3 linked regions of the Arabidopsis thaliana genome follow. The protein of the gene in region 1 interacts with the protein of each later gene in a pairwise test. Each region holds a gene or a part of one and is shown in the gene's direction. Other genes may lie near its edges.

What was found.
Region 2: the proteins of AT5G37550 (region 1) and ATB BETA interact in a two-hybrid assay, tested with the Arabidopsis thaliana proteins (one large-scale study listed by BioGRID).
Region 3: the proteins of AT5G37550 (region 1) and OBE1 interact in a two-hybrid assay, tested with the Arabidopsis thaliana proteins (one large-scale study listed by BioGRID).

The regions. Positions count from the first base shown.
Region 1 is NC_003076.8:14,918,314-14,921,868, reverse strand, and holds AT5G37550 (uncharacterized protein), read left to right. Parts: upstream 1-1,843; 5' UTR 1,844-2,076; coding exon 2,077-2,769; 3' UTR 2,770-2,968; downstream 2,969-3,555.
Region 2 is NC_003070.9:6,096,446-6,100,202, reverse strand, and holds the start of ATB BETA (Protein phosphatase 2A, regulatory subunit PR55), read left to right. Parts: upstream 1-1,763; 5' UTR 1,764-2,137; coding exon 2,138-2,243; intron 2,244-3,073; coding exon 3,074-3,177; intron 3,178-3,259; coding exon 3,260-3,355; intron 3,356-3,442; coding exon 3,443-3,562; intron 3,563-3,757. Other genes in the region: VPS46.1 (vacuolar protein sorting 46.1), read right to left, coding at 50-336, 669-993. UniProt on the Arabidopsis thaliana protein: The B regulatory subunit may modulate substrate selectivity and catalytic activity, and may also direct the localization of the catalytic enzyme to a particular subcellular compartment.
Region 3 is NC_003074.8:2,482,334-2,486,090, forward strand, and holds the start of OBE1 (potyvirus VPg interacting protein (DUF1423)), read left to right. Parts: upstream 1-2,120; 5' UTR 2,121-2,652; coding exon 2,653-2,675; intron 2,676-2,760; coding exon 2,761-3,757. Other genes in the region: Hsp89.1 (HEAT SHOCK PROTEIN 89.1), read left to right, coding at 47-124, 252-506, 611-713, 804-978, 1,066-1,171, 1,269-1,358, 1,461-1,637. UniProt on the Arabidopsis thaliana protein: Probable transcription factor that acts together with OBE2 for the maintenance and/or establishment of both the shoot and root meristems, probably by controlling the expression of the meristem genes such as WUS, PLT1 and PLT2 and of genes required for auxin responses.

The DNA.
Region 1 (3,555 bases):
TAAAATAAAATCTCATTAACTACAATAGTCGTCTTTTAAAAGAAAGGTTAATCTAAAAGGTCATTTGCGTGTAAATTGTGACGGATCATAAATGTATATGTTTGACTAGATTTTTTACTAAATATTGCTCTAATGATATTTTTGATTTCTAAAGTAGTAAAATTCGAACAATCTAACTTTTCTTTTTTTGTTGTTCATGTAATCATTTCTTTTTTATCCAACAAAATAAGCCTTTAAATTTTTAAGTCAGACCCATTGATGTAAACTTAAACTCTCTACAATAATTTTTAATCTAAACCTCTAATATAAAGTTTTTGCCATTCAATTCCAAAGTTTTCTCTTAATGATTTTAAGAATATAACAAGAAAAAAACAAAAACAAAAAATAAAGCAGTTAGATTTTTACGACCTTTAAAATTTTTAAAAATTCAAAAAATCTGATTGGGTGAAAAAAGACTATTGAGCAACACATGTAAGCCAGACTACTTTAAACGTGTTATTAAACAGTTTGAACAACTGGTTTACTTGTTGAAAATTATTATATTTGCAAGAGTTTATGACTTGTTAGCGAGCGGATGGGACATCGAATAAATAAAAAAAATGACTCAGATAAATATAATTTATAATTATAAAATTTATAAAAAGACAAAAAATTATCTTATTAACAAAATGATTAAAAAAATTAAATACAATTAATAATAAATAAACAAAGTACTACATAATATTCAAAAACATAATTAATTTCATAATAAAATAATTATTAGTTCATGCATCTGGTTCATCACCAAAAACTCAAGTAATATGACAAATGTATTTGAATTCATAAATATTTCGCATTGATAAAACTTATGTTCGTATTTTGCCTTTTTTAGTTTGGATTAACATCATGATATTGATGGAGAATAACCTTAATATGTGGGGTTTGATACAAAAGAATTATTTTATCTGTTGTTTATGTGATTTTTTTAACAACATGGAACTGTAGTAAACGCTTGCAAAAAAATACCTTTTGAAATTCAGCAATTTGAAGTGGTGGATTCGTTCCAAGAACCTAAATAGGCTAACTGTGGGCATTTACTATAATGATGCTTTTGGTCTATAACGGAAAGAGACTCTCTACGAGTTTTTTTTGTTTTTTTAATACAACTCCAAACACTTTATTCTAACATAGAAGTAATATACTAAAACTATTTGATGTATTCAGACTCTTCACATAAGATAACAACCATTATCTCAAATGGTTTAATTTCAATATAGAAAACTAATTTGGGTGACAATTTAGTAGATTTATTCCTAAAAGTCTGATACTGTTTAAAAATGGAGTATCACATGATATTGTTTATGGTACATCAATTTGTGAGGGTTGAATTAGGTTGTTGTTAGGAGAATAGAAGTAAAGTTACTTCATCCAATATTGATCATGTTAGGTTAATGTTATTTTGATTATAGTGTTTATAAAATATTGATATCAATAATTCATATCACCTTTCCTTTATAGTGTTTAATCGATTCATACACCAACATTCTCTTTCTTTTTCCAACAGCCTCGCATGTTCCCACAACTATGCTTTTGTTCCAATGCATCATCCCAATTTTTTCATCAGAATTAAAATAAGACCAAGTCATAGAACAATCCATATATGATATATCGATATAATGAGAAGCGGTTTCACCAATTTTTTGTTCCAATGAGTTGAATCCTCCTCAACACAACATTCTACGTACATATTATTTCATTGAAAGAAAAATATTGAAAAAATAAACTAAGGTACAAAAAGAATATATAAGAAATGTAGATTGTGCGTCCAACTACAAAAATACAACACTTTTCCTACGGAATAATTGTTGTATCCACCAATGGACCCAAAAGCAAGAGCAACAACAACTACTAATAATAATACTCTTTTTCTCATTTTATCAAATCATTTTCACATACGCGTATTTATTAATTTTTATTTTGGCAACACGCGTATTTATATATTTATGATTCTTTCTTTTTTTCTTTCTAAGCATTTCCCTCTATTAACGTGTCCACTCCAAATTCCACAAACCCAAAAAACATTATAATCAATGAACGATGCTTCCATTCGCCAACTACTACATTTCAACACCAATTATGTCCGAGAAGAAGAGCATCACCAGAAGCCGTAACAATAGTAGAAAGAAGAGATGGTCACCGACGCTCTTTGCCGGAGGAGGAGGAGGAAGAGGAGGAGGAGGAGATGATGAGCTGGCGACAGTGAAAGCTGCGGCGTGGGCTTGGTACCAAAGACACGAAGGAAAGCCGATGATGAGAGAGTTCGATCTCTCGAAAAGAGCCATAAGAACACCTCGACCTTCGCGGTATAAGCTCGAGGCCAACAAGACCATGATCCTCTCCGAGAATAAGGTTTCTAAACCACACTCTAATCATTTTTTGCGTGGAGATCAAGAAACCAAGTTGTCTAGTCTTCTTGATTCTTATGAGATCAAGAGCATCTCTAAGAGGATTGATGAGGGTTCGTTACCAACTATTGGTTTCTGGAATGATCATGGTCAACATTATGATCATAATATGTTGCAGAAGAAGCTTGAATATGATAGTAAGCAAGAGAATGGGTTGGTGAAAAAAATGAGCATTAGAAATTTGTGGAAAGGAATGATTATGATGGCTCCAAGGACGGTTTGTGGAAGAAGTGATGACGTGGATCTTGGGGCATATCATCGGGTTGGTCCAAGAACAAAGAAGGTTGCACCGACGAGTGTCAATATGCGTACCGGCCGACGCTAACTCTATGTCTCTATAGTATCTACTCTCTAGTTATTAAGGAGCTAAAATATGTGTTTAGACATTATTAATGCTAAAAGGACTTCTTTTCCACAATATTAATTAAAGGGTTTTAACAAGTTTGTGTATATTAATTTAACTTTTTAGGTCATTCTAGAGAATATTGTGCCCATACCTATATAATTTTCCACAATATTATCTCTTCTTTTTTTTTAAATTTCATTCATGGTCATTCGTTTCTCTTGACTTAGTGTTTCTACGGAAGCTTTGATCAAAATTTATTTTGATTTGTGAATTGTGATCCACATATATTTATAGTCATTTTGTTGGAATCTCATCATATGCTTAACTCTACAAAGAACCGATTTGAAGAAGATAAGAGCTGAGTAACCAAAGAATGGAGTCACCTACACAAGTAACCAAAATAAAGATTCGTAAACCCAATGGGCCATTAGTTGGAGTAAGGCCCAGTTTTTTTATATTGGTGTCGTTCATAGATGTTAGTATAAAGTAGAAACTAGGGGAACATTAGGCGAACAAGATTTGCATTGGATGACTATTTTTCAAGTATAAATAATTGAATTAGTACAAAAAGTAGGAAGATTCATATTCGTAGTGTATATATTTTATGACTCTAATAAATAAAAGAGAGGAAATGAATAATTCGTAGTGTATATATTTTATGACTCTAATCAATAAAAGAGAGGAAATAAACAATTTGATCTAAATATATACACTACATAAAATACAACTTAATGAACAATTTGTTTATCCTTTATGATCTTCTTA
Region 2 (3,757 bases), on another chromosome or scaffold:
AATAAAAGAAGAATCCAAATACAGTTTTTTTTTTTGTTAGGTTAGCTAATTAACCTCTGGCTTTAAGCTCGGCAAGTCTCCTGGTTAAATCATCCTCCTCAACTTTCTCTTCAGTCTTGGTAGGAATGGCATGACCAGCAGGCTGAGGTAGTCCAACAGAAACTTCAAGACCGTAATCATCTGCTACTTGCTGCATCAAGCTGTTGACTTCTCCTTCTGGAGTCGACAATGAAGTAGAGCCAGCCATTGCATTATCCATGAACTCAGCTTGGACTTCCATGTTCACAAACTGTTTCTCAAACGAATCCATCGTCTCAGACATCTTCTGTAAGTTGCCTGTTGCAAAGAACAAACCAGAAAATGATAACACGAGTTGCTACAGCACAACGTATAAGAGTATTATAAGCCCTATCTTCTTCTCCCTCTATACTACACTTACCAAAAGGAGAGAAATGCAACAAAAATTCATCACAGATCACAGAACATCCATGACGGTGAGAGAGAGCTATTCTAATATTTCATCAAACCAAACCCTAATGCATGATTCCATATCCTTCAATCAGCAAAAACAACAACAAGGAGCAGAATTTTTCAATCTATACTATAATGCTATGAGCACCAACAAAACCAAATTGATTAGATTGCTGAAAAGTGAGAATGTGAAATACCAGTGGTAAGAGACGATTCGAGGGATTTGACAATGTTGGTCATCGATTTGGTGATGGTAGCCATCTTAGCCTGGGTATCGAGTCGAGCAACAACAGCGTCCAATCGAGAAGAGAGACGAAGGTAGTTCATCTGCTCGCTGCGTTTGCGAATGGCGTTCTCGGCATAGATCCGAGCACCATCCATGTTACCTTTCTCAATGGCTTTCTTTACCTTGAGCTTCTCCGATCTCTCCTCTTTTTCGCACTTCCTAGCTTGCCTCTGCAGAGACTTTGACGTAAATTTCAATTCAAAGATCTGGTTCATCAGCTTATCTGTATTACCCATCTCCTCGATCAGTTAATCGGGATTCGCTTGTTTGATCAATCGGAATCGGAAAAAATTAGGGTTCTTTCGAATTTGGGGAAAGATATCTCAAGCGTGTTTCTTCCGCAGAAAGAGAGGTTTTAACTTTTAAACGAGGAGGCTTCCTAACATTATGTCCTAAATCGAATTGCACTGACTGGTTCTATTATTCGGTTATATCCGGTTTAAGTTTTAATCTTTTAATCCGTCACTGAGTCTGAGTGGTTAGTAGTTATAAAAAAAAAACACTCCTTTGACTTATTCGTTTCAGTTTTGATTATTCACCATCCAAATACATTTGGTATAAACTATAGTAATACTTTTTAAATTCATTTGATTTGTACTGGTTTCAATCGTTTTTCTTTTTTTCTACCGCTTGGGTATTCTCATGAGTTAATTTTGACCCCTGAAAGAAACTTGTAATTTTTCTCAAGTAAGATATGATAATATCAGATTAGAAAAAACAAATGTGCAATGGAATTCTATTTAGGATAATTTGGCAAAAATAATTATTTAGTACTTACTAATGATAATTATACATTTTCCCCCATCACACAACACAACAGTGGAAAGCGCAGCACCTCCACAACTGACCAATGATAGGCGAAAACATATGTCACTGTCCACCGATATGTAGTGGTCAAATAAATAATGTCACCGACTGTAACGCTAAGGATACTTTGGAATCAGGACAAAAACATTATAGTATTAGACATATTAACTTATACGGATTTGTTCCTTCGTTTTGGTCTCGAAGGAAAAAAAAAAGAAAAAAGTTATAATTCCACTTTTGTCCTTTTAGAGAGAGAAAAAGGCCAAGGCGTTTTTCTTCTCTCGTTCCTCCATTTTCTACAGAGAGATATATCAAAAATTCCATTTTCTACAGAGAGAGAGAGAGAGAGAGAGAGAGAGAGAGGGACGAAATATTAATCATCGATCAAGTTGCTTCAATCGCGAAAAAATCCATGAATAAAACTATGGAATGGAATGTGAATCAAAGGATTTGGTTATGGTGATGACGCGATCTTCGATTCGATTCGGTGATTAAAAGATTTGGAAGCTCAGATCTCAAGCTCGGATTTCTAATTTTTGTTGGATTATCTAACCCAAAAGCCAAAAAAAAAAAATGAACGGTGGTGACGATGCCGCTACTAGTGGTCCTCCTCCGTCTTTAGAGTGGAGATTCTCTCAGGTCTTCGGTGAGCGAACCGCCGGAGAAGAAGTTCAGGAAGGTAATTATTGCCTACGTGTGTTATAAATTGTGAGATATATTCGGAGTTTAGCTCTTCTTTTTTCTTTTAGATCCGGAGTGTATTTGAGGACTAAGGGTTTGATTTGTTGTTTGGATCTGATTAGTGAGTTATTCCTCTACTACTTAGTGGGTCATTGATGAATCTCTGTGGCTTTTATTGCACTGTTAGTAGAGTTTCTAAGTTCTATGACAAGTTTGGATTGTTGTGTATTATGTGATATTAGAGCATCTCTATTTAGCTGATTGTTGCGAGGTTGTAACTCTCATTTTTGTACAAGTTTCAGCTGTACTGCTGTAAATTTGAATCATTTGATACGCTGATGATAGTTTTAAGTTGAGATTAAGAGGGTAATCTAGCTTCAAGGTTTTGTCTGTTCAATGCCATAAGCCATGTATACTTTTTTCCACTGGTACAATGGTGTCTCGACTCTGTTTAACAGCAAGAAAGGCATATGAAGCGATGAGGGATTGGGTTGTCGAGGGACAAGTGTGAAGGGTTATCATTGGTCATGCATTTTGGGTTCATGAATTGAATTTGTAATATTGAGTTGGTCTATAGCTGCTCTCTTCTGGCTGATAAGACTTCCCGGAGTATTGATGTAACTAGGTTGCCTTCAGAGGCACTTTCCGTATTAGATAAATTTAATCTGCTCTCATGTTATTGGATGTAATCTTCTTTACCGGTTTACATACTCTATGTTATGGAGAATAATATACTAGCTGCACCTCAAGGTTATTATGTGTTTAGCTCCTACAATTTAGTGGTGACTTCTGATGTAATGATTCTGTTTGCACACATTTCTTCCGCAGTTGACATCATTTCAGCCATCGAATTTGATAAAAGTGGAGACCATCTCGCAACTGGTGACCGTGGGGGCCGAGTAGTTCTTTTTGAAAGGACAGATACTAAAGATGTGAGTTCCTTTTTCTTCTGCAAGATTTGTTTCGAAAAAATGTTATGTGCTGTAACGCACTCTTGCAAAATGTTACTTTCAGCATGGAGGGTCCAGGAAGGATCTTGAGCAGACGGATTACCCAGTTAGGCATCCTGAGTTTCGATATAAAACAGAATTTCAGAGTCATGAACCAGAGGTACATTAAAACTTATCACCAGATTTCACTTACGAGTAATTGTGTTCCTTGAGCTACTCAATAAGCTTGCTTTTCAATCTGTTTCAGTTTGACTATCTCAAGAGTTTGGAGATAGAGGAGAAAATCAACAAAATCAGATGGTGTCAGCCAGCTAATGGTGCATTGTTTCTGCTTTCTACAAACGATAAAACCATCAAATATTGGAAGGTGTGACATCTGGATGGATTTTTATATCACATGTCTGCAAAATATAGGCCACTTATAGCAATTCCTTTCTGTGTAACTCGGTTCCATAATCTTGTTTCATATGCTTTATAGTGTAGAAATATTAGGTGTCACGTGTGAAAACTGTCTAGAAACTGGTTTCTTTTGCTTCCAAGACTCAATTCAAAATAAGAGAAA
Region 3 (3,757 bases), on another chromosome or scaffold:
AGTGCAATGCTATGTTAAGCTTACGATTTTGTATTGTGTCTCCAAGGTGCGGATCATGAAGAAACGTCTAGTGAGGAAGGCTTTTGATATGATTTTGGGTATATCCTTGAGTGAAAACAGAGAAGTATGTTTCATAACTCTTGTTCCCCTAAGCTTACAGTTTAACCTTTTTTAATTCCCTTTAGAAATCACTGCTACGTTCTGGTGATGATTTTCCTGACGAATGAGAATGGCATTGTTAACCTATACAGGACTATGAGAAGTTTTGGGATAATTTTGGCAAACACTTGAAATTAGGGTGCATCGAAGACCGTGAAAACCACAAGCGTATAGCTCCACTGCTTCGATTTTTCTCCTCCCAGAGTGAGAATGACATGATCAGCTTGGATGAGTATGTTGAGAACATGAAACCTGAACAGAAAGCCATATACTTCATTGCTTCTGACAGCATTACAAGTGCTAAGAATGCACCTTTCCTCGAAAAGATGCTGGAGAAAGGACTTGAAGTATGTGTTGTTCTTCTGAATGGGGCCTCGTTTTGTTCTTCCTTGCAAATATTCCTATTAACTCAGAGGTGATTGACATGTATTTCTTTGTATTGTGAACGTAGGTACTATATTTGGTAGAGCCTATTGATGAAGTTGCCGTACAGAGTTTAAAAGCTTATAAGGAGAAGGATTTTGTAGATATCAGCAAGGAAGACTTGGATCTAGGCAAGTGCCTGATGTAATTCCTTGATTTAGCATGTCAGGTAATCACTTATGTATAATAACAAATTCTGGCTTTGATCTTTGTATTGACAGGAGACAAGAACGAGGAGAAAGAGGCAGCAGTGAAAAAAGAGTTTGGACAGACTTGTGACTGGATAAAGAAACGATTGGGTGACAAGGTTGCCAGTGTTCAAATTTCCAACCGTCTTAGTTCTTCCCCCTGTGTTCTTGTATCTGGTAAATTTGGTTGGTCAGCCAATATGGAGAGGTAAGATCTGACCTTTTTCTTAAGCAAGGATTTCCGTTCTCCTTTTTTGCCCCTGGTGAACTAACACAGAATATGTTATCTGGACAGGCTAATGAAGGCACAATCAACTGGTGACACAATAAGCCTCGACTACATGAAAGGGAGAAGAGTGTTTGAGATCAATCCCGACCACTCAATTATCAAGAACATAAATGTGAAGTCACCATTCATCATAACTTGTACCTGGCTATTATAATTAAATCTAGGAGCCGCTTTTTGAGCTTGGCTTGTTTTTTTCTTGCACCCTGCAGGCTGCTTACAATAGTAACCCAAATGACGAAGATGCAATGAGAGCCATAGATCTTATGTATGACGCAGCACTAGTTTCTAGTGGGTTCACGGTGAGTCCTATTCTACATTAACATTCTTAACTTTTTGTTGTCTCTAGAATTGAAATAAAGTAAATACTGGTAAAACTTAATTGTTGTTTCTCAAAACTACAGCCCGATAATCCAGCAGAGCTGGGTGGGAAGATATATGAGATGATGGATGTAGCTCTTTCCGGGAAATGGTCAAGCCCTGAGGTGCAGCCGCAGCAACAGCAGATGGCACATTCTCACGATGCAGAGACGTTTGAAGCTGAAGTGGTTGAACCAGTCGAAGTGGATGGGAAGAAATGAACACAAGCCTAATGTTTTATGTCCCTGCTACGATTCTCATCATATTCTTCTTCTTTTATTAGTAGTAGCAGTAAAAGTAGAACCCCAAAACTCAGAACAATAGGCAATGAGCGAATGATAATCTCTATTTATGTTGGAGAGATTAATAATTGATTGAGCTTGTTTTTGTTCCAGTTTGTGTTGATCCTCCTCGGTATAATTTTAATAACCGTTAAGAAAAATTCAGTTGGGGTGTTTTTGGAAAGATTTTTCGAGTTTTATCTAACAAAACTAAAATTTTGGGACATATGGTAATTTTTAATTAAATAGAGGGATGTTGTTATCGTACGAATTGGGTTGGTTTAAAACTTTGTTTGGACAGATTCGACTCAAACGTTGAACGCGTTTAAAAAAGTCAACAAAAGTCGAAGGTTACCGGCTGGTCAGGTTAACCGTTAGAGATTAATGAACTGGCAGCTGTATGTCTTTTTTATAGTTCTGTCTTAACAGGCAAAAAAGTGTTTAATTTATCTTTCCTTTGGGTTTCTCACGGAGTCACGGTTCCTCGTTCGTCCTCTCCCGTCGTCTCTCCGGTGAGTCCTTAATTTTCCGGCGGTCTTTTTCCCTTTCTCGTCTGTTTGGTGCTTTCTTTATGTCTGAGGCGAATACAGCAAAACGTATCTGTTTTGGTTGTTGAGTTCGAGGCTGGTCCTGAAAATTCGGTGACAAAAAGAGTCAATAACTCTCGTGATCGAGTTGGATGCGTTGTTTTGAGGGTTGATTCAGTTTATGACTATGTATTTTGGTACTTGCAAGATTTTCTGATTTTATGAAGATTCGTGTTTGACTTTTATAGCGTATAATCTACGGGGCAAACAGATTCGAGCAACTTGTTTTTTTCTAGCGCTTGTTTTGTGTTTACTCTGTCATGTGTTTGTATTTTTTGAGCTTCCACTAGTGATTAATCATCTCAGCTCAATTTGAACATAGGAGATGTAGTTTTTATCTGTCGGTGGATTTCTAGGGATTTTGCAAAATGTTTTGGGCTTTCCTGAATTAGTATGTGATTTGGTCGTAAAGTATTTTAGGGATTTATGTGTTCCTTGGGGTGAATCTGACATTGACATTATCTTGGTGTCTGCAGCACTAAATTGATGGGCACATCATCTGGGTCCAATCTTCCTCACCAGATGCTACCTCCACGTCAGCAACTACAAACATCTCTTTCGCTTGTATCTTCAGATCCCCACTTGTCACGGTCTAATTCTGGCATTGTGCGTGAATCACCAGCTGAAAGTGCTAGCTCTCAAGAAACTTGGCCAACCTCAAAATCTATTATGGGAAGGAAGACAGATAGCGGAAAGACAGGGCCTGACTCTCATGATCAACATGTGATCCGCCATGTTTCCATTGCTGATAAGGTATCGCTACGGGACATAGCTAGAGAGAGACTTGACATAGTCGCTGAGAGAATGCATCGATTACCAGAAGAATATCTCGAGGAGTTAAAGAATGGTCTTAAGGCTATCCTTGAAGGAAATGGTGCGCAGCCTATAGATGAGTTTATGTTTCTGCAGAAGTTTGTCCAGACGAGATCTGATTTAACTTCAAAGACACTTGTCAGGGCTCACCGAGTGCAGCTTGAAGTTCTTGTGGTTATAAACACTGGTATCCAAGCATTCTTGCACCCAAACATCAATCTCTCTCAGTCATCACTCATCGAGATCTTTGTGTACAAGAGATGCAGAAACATAGCTTGCCAAAACGAACTCCCGGCTGATGGTTGTCCCTGTGAGATATGCGCTAATAGGAAAGGCTTCTGCAACCTGTGCATGTGTGTGATATGTAACAAGTTTGACTTTGCAGTCAACACATGCCGCTGGATTGGCTGCGACGTGTGTTCTCATTGGACTCATACGGATTGTGCTATTAGGGATGGGGAGATTTCGATGGGAGTTTCTCCCAAGAGCGTATCTGGGATGGGAGAAATGCTGTTCAAGTGTCGAGCGTGCAACCATACTTCTGAATTGCTGGGGTGGGTGAAAGATGTGTTTCAGCACTGTGCACCAAACTGGGATAGGGAATCTTTAATGAAGGAACTTGACTTCGTTAGTAGGATTTTCCGTGGAAGCGAAGATACA